Oryctolagus cuniculus: one gene and its partner. The protein of the gene in region 2 purifies or fractionates together with the protein of the main gene of each other region. This does not show direct contact. Links are inferred from orthologs where the notes say so. Each region holds a gene or a part of one and is shown on either strand. Other genes may lie near its edges.

Region 1 (6,212 bases), on a different chromosome or scaffold from region 2:
TGAGGGGAGACGACAGGACATGAGATCCCTCGCCCCACAGAGGGCCCAGACAGCGCCCGTGAGTCCCTCATGGCGCCGCCCCTCCACTTAGCAACCCCCGCCTCGCCAGGCAGGTGTGGACAGAGCTGGACCCTCGCCCCGCCAGGCACTGCTGTCAGTGTGGTTAGCTCCCCCCCTCGCAGCTCAGGCCTGGAAGGCCAAGTTCGGGCCATGCGCAGAACACACTCCCCGCCGAGGGGTGGGGTCACATCCCACCTGCGCCACTCGTAGAAAGCAGGGGCCGCGCTGTGGCACGGCGGGCTAGGCCTCCCCCTGCAGTGCCGGCTCCCGTACGGGCTCCAGCTCCCATCCAGCTTCCTGCTGAGGGCCTGGGAGAGTGGAGGATGCCCGCGTCCTTGGGCCCCACACCACGTGGGAGACCTGGACAAGGCTCCTGGTTCCTGGCTTCCGGTCAGCTCCCCTCCAGCCACTGCGGCCGTTTAGGGAGTGGCCCAGGGGATGAAGATCGCTCACTGCCTCTCAAAGCTTAGCAAGGATATGCCCAGAGCTCCGTGGGACCGGGACACTGCCCTGCCCACGCCCACGCGGCCGGCGTCCACCGTGTTTCCCGGACCCCGAGCACTTACTTCCAGGAGGGCCTTGATCACCAGCTTGATGGCCAGGTCGTCGGTCTCGATGGCGTCATCGGTGTAGTTCTTCTCCAGGAACTCACGCACTGACTTGGCGCCCCGGCCGATGGCATTGGCCTGAAACGGATGTGCACCCGCGGTGGCCCAGGGGTCCAGCTGCCTGCTGCCCGTGTCCCCAGGGGGCCTGCTGTTTGCTCTGAGCAAGCTGTGGCAAGGGGCAGCCGCTCCAGGTGACCTGCGGAGCCCCGTGGGCAGCCATGCTGAGTGGCCAGCTGAGCCCCGTGGGCGGCCATGCCGAGTGGCCAGCTGAGCCCCGTGGGCGGCCATGCCGAGTGACCAGCTGAGCCCCGTGGGCAGCTTCCTTCTGCCGATTCTTAACTGATCCTAACGCCGCCCTGCACCCGCACCCTCACGGTCCTGCAGGACAATCTGGTGCTCACGGCCCCCTGGCTCCCACACAGCCACCGTCAAGGCAGCGTGTACATCTGGGACGCGGTGACCTCAAACGCTGACGTGAGGAGTGGACGCTGCCGAAGCCGCTGCACCCTGCGGGACTCACCTTCCAGGCGTGGTACGTGCCCGAGGGGTCAGTCTGGTAGAGTCTGGGGGTGCCATCGAAGTCAAAGCCCACGATGAGGGCAGAGATGCCGAATGGCCTGCGACCGTTGCTCTGTGTGTAGCGCTGGAGCGGCACAAACAGGTCGGGGCTCGGACCAGGGAGACCGCGCAGGACGCCCGCGAGCCGAGCCCCAGCCAGGGGCGCTCTGCAGGCACCGAGACCCCCCACGCCTCCGGCCCGTTCTGCACCTGCACGCCCAGGCCCAGGCACTGCGCAGCACGCACTGAGCGCCTGGGAACTTCCTGCCAGGCAGCCGTCCAGCTGGCCACACGCTGGCTCGGAAGACGAATGGCGTCGCGCCACAGTGGTTCTCGGCTCCCTCCCACCCGCCTGGCAACGCCGCTAAGGACAGAGCCGGGCCTCGCTCCTCCCTCCAGCGCGCGCTGAGAGCCAAGGGGAAGCGGTGGACAGCAGGACGCAGCTGACCCCGGGCGCCCACCTGCTTCAGACTGGCGATGTAGCGGGTGATGTACTCCACAGTGACCGGGTCCTCCACGGTCAGCCGGTGGCTCTGGCACTCTACCCGGGCCCGATTGATGACGATGCGCGCGTCCGCAGTGAGGCCTGCAAAGGAGCGGGAGACTCCGAGCAAGGACGGCGTTGACCCTGGCTACTCCGCAGCCTGACCTCTGGGCACGGTCCCCCCTCGCCCTTAGCGGCCAGAGCGGGACCAGCAGCCTCCGGGGCTCTTCTGAGAACCAGGTCAGGGAGCCGCCCCGCGCCCTGGGGGAGCGCAGGGGCCGAGTGCGTGCCTCCCCGTCACGGGGCAGGTGTACTGCTGCTGGCCACGGGCAGCCCTGTCTGCCCTCTGCATGCCACAGGTCAGGCGGGGCTCGTGTTTGGGGGACAGAAAAACCCCCAAGTTAACTCCTGAAGTCCGAATCCACTGACGTCTGGCAACAGCCCGGGGCCCCGCGTCCCTCTGCACAGCCAGGTTCCACCGGGACCCTGAGTGCGGCCCTGGCCCCGGTCGCGCACCTGCGAACGCCATGCAGACGTTGTCGTCCAACGCGCAGATCTTGCGCACGGTCCTTTCATCCTGCAGCTTGGCCACCGACTTCTTCTCCACGCCAAGGACGACGATGTCTCTCCCCCGGACGCCAACCTCCAATGAAAACCACGGCCCGCATGAGAAACTGCGGAGGCGGGGCGCCAGGAGCACACGGCAACACGGTCCTGGGGCGTGGCCGGCAGCCGCCACGCGGAGCTGTGCTCACCCGCGCAGCCCACAGCTCACAGCCCGACAGCCCGGGCCCGGCACTGCGGGTAGGGACCTGCCGTGTGGGCCGGAGTCTGAACAGGGGCGCCGGCCGCAGGCGAGCTGTGAAGCCACCTCCCGGCACGAGGGAGGGGCCGCCTGCTGTCAGCCGTCGCCGGACACCGCCCGCCAAGGCAACCACGGGTGGGATTCAAAATCCGATAAATCACGGCAGGCTAATTATGAAGTGGACAATTCCGTACGACCGCAAACGGCCCGGCAGAGACAGGTTCCCCACCCCTGCTCAGAGGGCTGGGCTGGCAAGGCTGCAGACCATGGACCCACGCAGGGTCCCGGCTCCGGCCTAGACTGGCACCCACTGTCGCGGGCCCAAGGGGCGTGAGCAGTATGAAGGCCTCCCCGTCTCCTAACCAGGCGTGGGAGCCGCTTCGGCATGGGACGCCGAGCCCCCATCAGAGTCGGGGCGCAGCTCCCACCCCCCTCCTGGGAGACCCGGACTAAGCTCCTGGCTGGTGGCGGTCAGGGGCCTCTGGGGAGTCAGCCGGCGGGTGGGGGCTCTGCCTCTCACACACACCGGAACCTCAGGAATCGGCCATCCCACACGTCAATCAAACAGCCTAGAAACCAACCGCAGCAATCGGTGGGCGCCGCGCGTGCCCGCCCTCCAGCACAGGGCCTTTCAGCCCCGCCGGCCAGTGCCGACCTGGGCAGCCGCCCCCGCCCACGGCATGCCAGCAGCAGTCTCGCTCCACACGGCAGTGCCCGCGGGCCGAGGGGCACTGGCCCGGTTTCCAGGGAGGTCCCGGGTGCCGACTCGGCCAGACGCTCCGGGAGCCGCAGCTGTGCGTCCGCCCGAGCGAGCGTGGGTGGGGAGGAGGTCAGAGTTGGACTTGGGACCCTAATTGCAGGCGGTCACACGAGCCAGGAAGTGGCGACCTCAGAATCCGCGTCGTGGCCCTGAACGTCTAGGATTCTAAGGGACAAAAACGTCGCGCGCCACGGCGCTGTCTGCGAGGGGGCAGACGCTGCCCAGGCACCGCACCCCCGGGGGCCTGGCCCGGGGCCCCCCAGCCTCCTGTGAGAAACACCACCCCTCCTCCACATGCGCGCGCGCTCCCGAGGTGCGCCCAGGTGCTGCTGGTGGGAACGAGACAGGCGCCTGAGCCCCGAGCTCAACGTGCCCACCTGGGCAGGCAGTGGCCTGGCATCACTCCGGGAGCCGCCAGGACAGTCCCCGTGCGTCCGGCTGGCCCGCCGCCGGCAGGTGCAGGGCACGGCCCGCTCCCGTACCGGAAAGCACGCACCCAGAGGCACCCCGGGCTACTGGCCTGGCCCCTCACCCGCGGCCTCCGACGCCATGCGCGCCCCAGCGCCGCCATCGGCCCCGCCCGGGCTGCGGCTCCCTTCTCTGCGCCACGGAGCCGGCGCCCCGCGGGTTCCCAGCGGCCCGCTGGCCACACGCACGGCCGAAGGGACGCCGCGCCGCCGTCCCGGGAGCAGCGGTCCGCAGCCCGCGCCCCCGGCCGAGCCCAGGCCCGCCGCCCGCCGCCGCGCCCGGGCCCCCGGCGGCGCCCCTGGCCCGGGCCCCCAGCGCGCGCAGGCCCCGGCGCGGCGGCTCACCGCGGTCGAGCCCTTCTTAACGGCCTCCTGCGCGTACTCCACTTGGAACAGGTGGCCGTCGGGCGAGAAGACGGTGATGGCGCGGTCGTAGCTCATGCCGGCGGCCGCGGCGCGGGCCCAGGGCCACCCTCTCCGCCGCTCTCAAAAGCGCACACTCACGGCCGGCGCGCGCGCCCTGCGCCGCGCCCACGCTGCGCGTCGGTGACGTCACGGCGTCGGGCGGACGTGCGGGCGCGCGGCGGGGCGGGGCGGGGCCGGGCCTAACCACGGGCGGCGGGGCGGGGGGGGCGGCGCGGGGCGCGGCGGAGCGGGCGCGGGGCGCCGGCCGGCCGCCGGGGGGCGCCACGCGAGGCGCGGCCTCGGAGGGGGCGGCGGCGGCGGGAGGCGGCGCGGCGGGCGCGGCGGCGCGCGCGGGGCGGCGGGGCGGGCGAGCCCACGGCGCGGCGTCCCCCGCGCCTCCCGCCCCCCGGCGACTGCGGAGAATGAGCTCTTCGGGCGGCCGAGCGCAGCCGGGGAATAAGCCCTGATGGTCACGGGCTGAGCCCCGCGTCGCCGCAATGTCCGTGGCCTTCGCGTCCGCCCGGCCGAGGGGCAAAGGGGAGGTCACGCAGCAGACCATTCAGAAGGTGCGTGGGGCCGGGGCGCGAGGCGCGGGCACGCGCGGGCTGGGGCGCGGGCAGCCGGCGGGCGCGGGGCGCGAACAAAGCCGGGGCGCAGCCGAGCGGCCCCGCGCCCGCCGTCCGCAGCGGCGCTCCCCGGGGGGCCCACGCCCACTCTGCCGGAGGCGCGCGGAGACCCGCGGGCGCGGGCGAGGGCGCGTGGCGTCGGCCGCCTGGGAGGAGAGGGCGGCGGCGGCGCCCGTGTCGGGGGTCCGGGTCCCGAGCGCCGCTGGCCACGCGCGAGGGAGTGCGGGCCGGCCTCGGGGACGCCCCTCGGCGAGGCGCGAGCCCCCAGGGCACAAAGGACGCGGCGCGGGCTTGGGCGCCCCGCAGCGCACGCGGGTGCCCCGCGCCCGGGAACCCGGCTGTGCTGTGCAGCCCCGCGCCTCGGCGTGAGTCGGGCCGCGCGGGTGCGGGGGAGCGGGCACGTTCCGTTCTCGGCTTCCCCGCCCGACAGATAAGGAAGGAAGCTGGCGTTCGCCGCGCCCCTCTGCACGCGCCCGGCGCCTCGCGCGGCTGCGTGTGTTCCTCTGCTGGACTCTGTGGGTTCGCCGGGAGGGGTGCGCCCGCCTCTGGGGACGTGGTCCTCGGGCTGTCACCAAGATGGAGACCGATCTTGTCGCCACGGGATTGTCACGAGTGGGGGGCCTTGGGCAGCGCCGAGCCGGGGATGGTGACGGACGGGAGCCTCCGAGGGTGTGGAGTCGCAGGTGCTGTTTGAGAGCCTTGCGAATCTTTTAATGTGCGCTTTCTCTTTGAGATTTATTTGACACACAGAGTTGGAGAGGTAGGGAGAGGTCTTCCATCCGCTGGTTCAGTCCCCAGATGGCCGAAACGGCCGGAGCTGCGCCCAAAGCCGGGAGCCTGGGGCTTTATCTGAGTCGGCTCCCCGGGTGCAGGGCCCAAGGACGTGGGCGTTGTTCCGTTGCTGTCCCAGCAGAGTTAGATCAGAAGTGCAGCAGCCAGGACTGGCACTGGCGCTCCTGTGGGACCCGGCACTGCAGGCCGGGGCTTAACCCGCGGCACCAGAGCACCCGCCGCCGGGCGGGGGAGATTCTCCATCCGGCGAGCCTGCGACAGCCAGGGCTGGGCCAGGTGGGCACCGGGAGCCTGCAGCTCCGTCCAGGCCTCCAAGCCCCGGGGCCACCCTTCACGGCCCCTCCACCGTGTGCCAGTAGCACACAGCTGACAGCAACCAGCCTGCTGAGCCACGACGCCTGGCCCGGGCTTTGCCCGTCTTCTCCGCGTCCTCCGTGGAATTAGCGTCCCCCGTGTAGCTGAGGAGGCGGAAGCACAGGAAAGCTGCGTGCCGTGGACGGTGGCTGCGGCACGGCTGTGGCTGCAGCGCCGCATCGCGCGGCCTTTGGCTCGGCAGAGCGTCAGGCACGAGCCCCGGGGGCACGTGTGGGCATTTCTGGGGGTGTCCTGATGCCCTGGCTTTTTTTTTTTTTAAAGGATTCATTCAT
Region 2 (6,915 bases):
AGAAAAAGTTACTGAATGTTTATGAGGAGGATGACCCAACCATAAATTCTGAAAGTGAAAAGAGTTAGAAGATGTTAATAGCAAACTGGTTTTTTTTTTAGGTGGTTCAGATCCAGGAAAGAAAAAGCACAATAGTGACTGTAAGAATGTAGAAGTGGTGTCTGAAAACAGAGGCCACAAGTACCTTTTGCTTCTAGCTCTAAAGTCAATCCCTTATTGGTGTCTTGAGTTTTCTAAAAGCCATACAGCCAGAGGGTCCAAGTGGGAGGAATGCGTCCTCTGGTCAGCCCGGGTGCAAATCACTATGGGAACTACGGGAAACTGAGGAGGCTGGGGCTGTGGGGAGGGGGAAGGAGAGTTGCAAGCGCTGCCCTAGGATCGCTATACCTTTGCAGGACACAGGGCCACAGAGAAATCTGATTCCTTAGAGGAAGAATGTAAAGGGAGGTGTAGCAGGTTATGTGGGGAAAGTTTTAATTTCAAGATCTCAACCTTATGTCAAGGGTTCACTATTAGGATATAAAAACTGAGACCACCATGAGCAGGTGACATTAATGAAGCCACAGAGAAGAGGCACAGTTTCAAAGGACCTGCCAAGGAGGTGATTTTTGACTTCTGAGTGAAGCAAGACTTAACACTGAGATATCCATGCTTTTTAATTCACTTTCCCAAAGGTCAACAACCTGAAGGCCCAGGGCTTCAGTGCTGGGGATGTCGATCGCTGAGTTCTGAGCGTCGAAAATAAGAGAAAACCCATTGTCTTATTTTGTTTATAGTACTGGAATTCATACCTAACAGTGACCACTTGATATGATTAATTCAGGGAATATATATTTTTCTATGAAAGTTAGGAATATGATTCTCATAGCTTTTGCTCATTTCTACTTTTCACGTAGTAGCATTTACAGAAATGCCAAAATGTACCTCATTAAGAGGCAAGTCTTAGTTTTAATCAGAACATCTCTTTAGATGACAGAGTGAAATCTTTCATGCTTATTACATCACATTAAAAGAACTTGAACACTGAGCAAATTTACTACAATCTCATCACACACTTTATAGCAGCATGTCTGGCCTGTTTTGTTGTGGTCTTTGATAGGATTAGAAAAGCTGGCCATGGCACTACAAAGAATTTACTTGCAATGAGGTTTAATTTGTTGTTAACAGACATTTGTTGAAATTAAGATCACCAGATTAAATGAATGTACTGTCAAATCTTAATAGAAAGATGTTAAATAGTCCTAAGCAAGTTGTTTTCCCGTTGGAAAAAAAAATCTGTGAATCTATGATTTGCATGTGTAAACCTAAACCTGAAAAAGTAAAATACAGAAATCTAGGAGTTTATTTTTAAGACTAATGCATATTTTTTGGTTACCAGGTGGATGGACCAAGTGTTCAGATTATTTGAGAAATTTGTGGTTGCATGTTTGTTTTAAAAAAAAAGGCTATTTTTTTAAAAAGTACAAGTCAGAATATTCTAAGCGACAGTGTGTGTCCTTTGCTCTTTCATGCGGTTCACTTTAATCTGAAATACTGATCCCCAGCATCCTGTTGCTAGCACAGGCGGGACAAGGAGGCGTTCCTAATAAACTGCTGCCATTTTCAGGTGCATGGGGTTTGCTTTCTGAGCGCTAATGAAACGCGGAAATGCATTTCCAGTCCCAAACTTACACTCGTTCACTGCAGTTTCTTACAGGGCGTATTATAGCCTCAAGAAATACCATCACATATTTAAGTCTCAGTGAAGGCTTTTACGTACAATTTTTTTTTTAATAATTTCGGTGTAATGAAAACTTAAGCTTTGAGTCAATAGCTGGCGGGGTTAATTCCTGTCAGTATTTGAGACTGTACGGGCCTTTCATAACAGAATCCTCCTTGCTGGTTTAGTATTTAATTTGAACACAGATTCGCCTTTAAACAAAAGCCGCTTGGCCTGAATACACGTTAAGTGCATGAAGTAAGTGTGTTTCAGGAAGTCCGCATTCTTGTCAAGCTGTTCTCTCCGGGACGGGCAGTCCGGCGGTGGCCACCGCTGACGTCACCCTGCTTAACAGGGCAGTGGGCAGTGCAGGGGTGAGGTGGTGGGCCCCAGGCGGGGCCGGGGGCCGGCGATGCCTGTCCGGGGCGCCCCGCTCACGCTGGAGTCCCGCGCCCACGGGCGCAGCTTTTGCCCCCGGACGTCTCATTCTGCCGCGAACCCCCAGCTCTGAGTACGATGGCTGAGTAGCAGGTTCTCCCGCCTCTGGCCGGACGGCGTTCCTAGCACGGCTGAGGCGCTCGGTGGCCCCGGGCTCGCGCGCCCCGCTCACCGCCCCCGGCCGCCCCCACGGGTTCCGTGCAATCGCGAGTGGCCAAGCTTAAAGAAACAAACCTCCGTGCGCGTCCTCGAGCTTCCCGGCAGCTGCGGGGCTGGGCAGAGGCCTCGCTTCCCGCCGCGGCGTCTTCCTCACGCCCGCCCGCCCGGGCCCCGCGGCCGCCACCACCTGGCGCGCTCGAGGTCCGGAGCAGGTGTGCACACACCAAAGTCCAGCCCTGTCGCTCCCAACGGAAAACGAGAAGGGGCCCGAGGGAAAGGAAACGCGTGAGGGGCGCACGCTCTGCTAAGCGCCGCGCCCTGGGTCCAGGTCCGTCACCTGCCCGGGCCGGACACGCCTCCCGGCCTCCGCGCGCCCCGCCCACCGGGTCACGTGCTCGCCCCTCTAGCCCACAGTCCTCCAGTCTCGGTGTCCTCGCCCGCCTCACGCGGCGGAAGAACAGGCTCCGGACTTCCGGGGCCGCCCCGTCACTGAGGGGCGCCAGGGGGCGTGGCCCTCCGCGCGCGGGTGCGCCTGGGGGCGTGGCCCCGCGCCGTGGCGCGTGCGCCGTCTCGCGCCGCCGCAGTTGTGCCCGACCGGCCCCGGGAGACCATGGCGGCCACGTTCTTCGGAGAGGTGGTGAGGGCGCCGTGTCGGGCGGGGACCGAGGAGGAGGAGGAGGAGGAGGAGGAGGGCCGGAGGGAGACGCCCGAGGACCGGGAGGTGCGGCTGCAGCTGGCGCGGAAGAGGTGAGGCCCTGCGGGGAGGCCGGGAGCCGGGGCCGCGCTGCCGGGGAAGCGCCTCAGCCCCGCCGCCGGGCAGGTGCGCGCGGCCCGGGAGGCCTCGGGCGCCCGCTGCCGTGGGCCTGAAGCGGGGGAGGGAGGCGTGCGTTCAGGCTGGTCCTTGCCGGTGTGCGGAGCGGCCTCCGTGCCCTGCCCGCGTCCGTCCTGGGCTTCTCGGGCCCCGACCGGGGCCGCAGCGGCTGGGTGAGCGGGACGCGCCCGCCAGGTCCGGGGGAGGGAGGAGAGTGACCACGGGTCCGCATCAGGGTCAGCAGCGGCTGGATGTGCGGGACGTGCCCGCCCAGGTCCGGGGGAGGGAGGAGAGTGACCACGGGTCCGCAGCGGCTGGAGGTGCCAGAGGCGCCTGCCCAGGTCCGGGGACGGGGGAGGAGACCCCCGGTCCGCATCAGGGTCCGCAGCGGCTGGAGGTGCGGGACCCGTCCGCCCGCAGAGTGACGGAGGGAGAGACAGAATCTCGCGTCCATTGGGTCACTCCCCACTTGGCCGCAACAGCCGGGATTGGGCCAGGAGCTCCATCCGGGTCTCCCACGTGGGTGGCAGGGGCCCCACTACACTTCCGGAGGTGAATTATCACGGAGCTGGGTTCGCAGTGGAGCAGCTGGGACTTGAGTGGGTGCTTCGGCACTGGGTGCCAGCATCGCAAGTGACGCTTAAGCCCCGCCCCACAGTCAAATTTACTAGTTTCCTCAAGCATACAGGGAGTTGTGCAAGTCAGAATCCTGATAAAGGTGCACACATGATGTTTATATAACCACTTATTTGAGAGACGAAGAGAGCACCCGTGGGAACTCTTGGTTCATTCCCCAAATGCGTGGAACAGTGGGGTGGGCTGCAAGCCAGGAACTCAATCCGAGACCCTCGGGTGGGTGACAGGTGCCCAGTTACTTGAGCCAGCCCAGGGCCTGCATTGACAGGAAGCTGGAATTGGGAGCAGAGTCCAACTGGGACTAAGGCTTTTTTTTTTTTTTTTAAGATTTATTTTAAAGATTTATTTTAAAGATTTATTTTCTATTTGAAAGAGTTATGTAGAGAGAGAAAGAGAGAGAGAGAGCGCGCACTACCATCAGCTGGTGCACTTCCCAGATGACCACAGTGGCTGGGGCTGGAAGCTCGGGGCTTCACCTGGGTCTCACATGGGTGGCAGGGGTCCAAGCACCCAGGCCGCCACACAGGAGCTGCATAAGAAGTGGAGCAGCTGGGACACAAACTGGCGCCCACATGGGGCGTTGGTGTCCCAGGTGGCGGCTTTACCTGCCAGTGTTCTAACTGCTACCCACCCGCCCCCAGCATACTGTGCTTAGACATTTCATCTGAGGTAGAGCTCGCCCTCTCCCCAGATGTGTGCTTTCTCCCCTGCTGAGAACCTGGCTGTCCTGTCTAACGTCCCACAGTATGGATTTGTGAGCGCCGCCACACGGTGTCAGTTAACATTAACATTTCCTGGAAATGTCAGATTCACTTTTTCTTTCGAAAAATTTGTTTCTTTTTTTTAAAAGATTTATTTATTTTTTACTTGAGAGTCAGAGTTACACAGAGAGAGAAGGAGAGGCAGAGAGAGAGAGAAGGAGGGGAGGGAGGGAGAGAGGTCTTCCATCTGCTGGTTCACTCCCCAGTTGGCCACAACAGCTGGAGCTGTGCCGATCTGAAGCCAGGAGCCAGGAGCTTCTTCCAGGTCTCCCATGTGGATGCAGGGGCCCAAGGACTTGGGCCATCTTCTACTGCTTTCCCAGGCCACAGCAGAGAGCGGGACTAGAACCGGCGCCCATATGGGATGCCAGGGCTTCAGGCCAGGGCATTAACCCACTGCACCACAGCGCTGGCCCCAAATTTATTTGTTTCTTTGCAAGTCAGTGTTACAGAGACAGAAGGAAAAAGAGATAGATCTTCGACCTGCTGGTTCAGTCCCCAGATGGCCACAGTGGCCACGGTTGAGCCAGGCTGAATCCAGGAGCCTCATCAGGGTCTCTCAGGTGGGTGGCAGGGGCCCAGGCACTTGGGCCATCGTCTGCTGCTTTTCCCGGGCACATTAGTGGGGAGCTGGGTCAGAAGTAGAACAGCTGGGACATGGACTGAGTGGACTGAGGCCCATGTGGGCTGCCAGCATTCCGGCGGCAGCTTCGCCACAACTCCGGCCCCCAGATTCACAGGCAGCATTTGGTTTGAAGGCTGCTTTGCAGTGGTGCTGTTTCCTGTTGCTCGTTCTACCTGCGGTCTCACTGCTGGGGAGCAAAGGCTGATGAGAGGGTCAGGCGGTGGCCTGGTCTGCGCTTGTCCTGGTTTTCTCTGTTGGTTACCATTGCCTGAGTCCATTGTTTTCTTGGGGTTGTTCTTCACAGGTGTGTTTTACCTATTGCAACGTAGCATGCAGTGGGCTCTTGTTCACAGTATTCTGATTAAGCTGAGGTTGTTTTAGTTTCATCTTATTTCTTGTGTTAGGGAGGTACGGCTTCTTCGAAGACAAACGAAAACGTGTTTGGAATTTTCCCTGCTGGAAAAGCATCCTTGCTCCAGGTTTATCATTGCCATAGGCAGCAATGCAGTAGGTGAGTGCAACGGGGACCGCTGAGTCTCCCGACAGCCGAAGCTGCTCGTTTGCTTCTGTTATGAAAGGTTGCAAGTGCTTGTTAATTAAAAAAAAAGCCATAATGTTATTTCTGAGTAAAACTTATATCCTGCTCATGTACCATCTTTCTAATAAACCTAAAAAATTTAAAGGAAGTGTTATTGAACTTAAGGCGCAAGGAAATGTTTCTAGTGTGTTGAACTATCCAAGTTTGTGTAAATTTTTAAAAATTTTTATTTTTTATTTTAAATGTAAAGTGCCAGAGAGACAGACGCACAGAGAGAGAGAGACATCGGTCTTCCATTTGCTGTTTCACGTCCCAAATGCCTGCAGCTGGGGCTGGACCGGGTCAAAGCCAGGAGCTCCGTCCTCGTCTCCCATGTAGACGGCAGAGACCCAAAAGCTTGAGGCATTGTCTTCTGCCTTCCAGGGTGTGCATTAGTAGGATGGGAAGCAGAGATGGGACTTGAACCCAGGCACTCCGATATGGCTATGAGCATTCCAAGTGGCGACTTCATCTGCTTTGCCACAGTGCCTGCCCCATACTTAAATATTTGTGAGTTAACAGAGTCCTTTGAGAACACGATGAGAACTCTAACAAGTGCTGGCATTTTTGACCACTCAAGTCCAAGGTCTTTGCACTTCCTGATGTACTTGTTGGACTAAAACGAGCAGTGTTGATGTACCCAGAAGGGCCCTGTAGTTTCAGGAGGCTCACACGCTCTGAGGGGAGCCTTCAGGGCTTTGGTTGGATCCTTGCCCCTCAAAGGCACCCCGGTGCTGGCTGAACACAGTGACTTGCTGGCGCTGGGGCGCAGTGGGTCAAGCTGCCACTTGTGACGCCAGTGTCCCGTATCAAAGTGCTGGTTTGAGTTCTGGTTACTCCCTTTCTAGTTCAGCTCCCTGCTAATGGACCTGCAAAGGCAGTGGAAGATGGTGCAAGTCCTTGGGCTCCTACCACTTGGGACAGAGTTCCTGGCTCTTGGCTTGCCCGGGCTCAGCCCTAGCTATTGTGGCCATCTGGGGAGTAAATTTGTGGATAGAACATCTTTCTCTCTCTGTCTCTGTCTCTCTCTCTCTCTTTTTCTCTCTCTGTTGGACTGCCTTTCAAATAAACTAGCAAACAGAAATGAATAAGTAAATCTTAGAAAACAAGAACGTAGTAACTCGGGTAGATAACTGTTGTCATTTATGTAAAGTTCTGCTGGTCTAGGATTTTTCCAGGGGAGTGTTCCCCGTGAGTATCGTACAGACT

What was found. Proteins that work in one complex are often made in the same cells at the same time.
Region 1: the proteins of PSMG1 (region 2) and PSMA7 purify together in Homo sapiens (affinity purification with mass spectrometry; 3 studies listed by BioGRID and IntAct, with this or other methods). This does not show direct contact. The link is inferred for Oryctolagus cuniculus from reciprocal best matches to the Homo sapiens genes PSMG1 and PSMA7.

Annotation. Positions count from the first base shown.
Region 1 is NC_091442.1:1,219,974-1,226,185, reverse strand, and holds the start of PSMA7 (proteasome subunit alpha type-7), read right to left. Parts: upstream 4,300-6,212; 5' UTR 4,184-4,299; coding exon 4,088-4,183; intron 2,354-4,087; coding exon 2,227-2,353; intron 1,813-2,226; coding exon 1,688-1,812; intron 1,312-1,687; coding exon 1,189-1,311; intron 747-1,188; coding exon 627-746; coding exon of another isoform or gene 600-626; intron 1-599. Other genes in the region: SS18L1 (calcium-responsive transactivator), read left to right, coding at 4,645-4,713.
Region 2 is NC_091435.1:5,947,850-5,954,764, forward strand, and holds the start of PSMG1 (proteasome assembly chaperone 1), read left to right. Parts: upstream 1-2,906; coding exon 2,907-3,043; intron 3,044-5,533; coding exon 5,534-5,640; intron 5,641-6,915. Other genes in the region: BRWD1 (bromodomain and WD repeat-containing protein 1), read left to right, coding at 1-68. UniProt on the Homo sapiens protein: Chaperone protein which promotes assembly of the 20S proteasome as part of a heterodimer with PSMG2.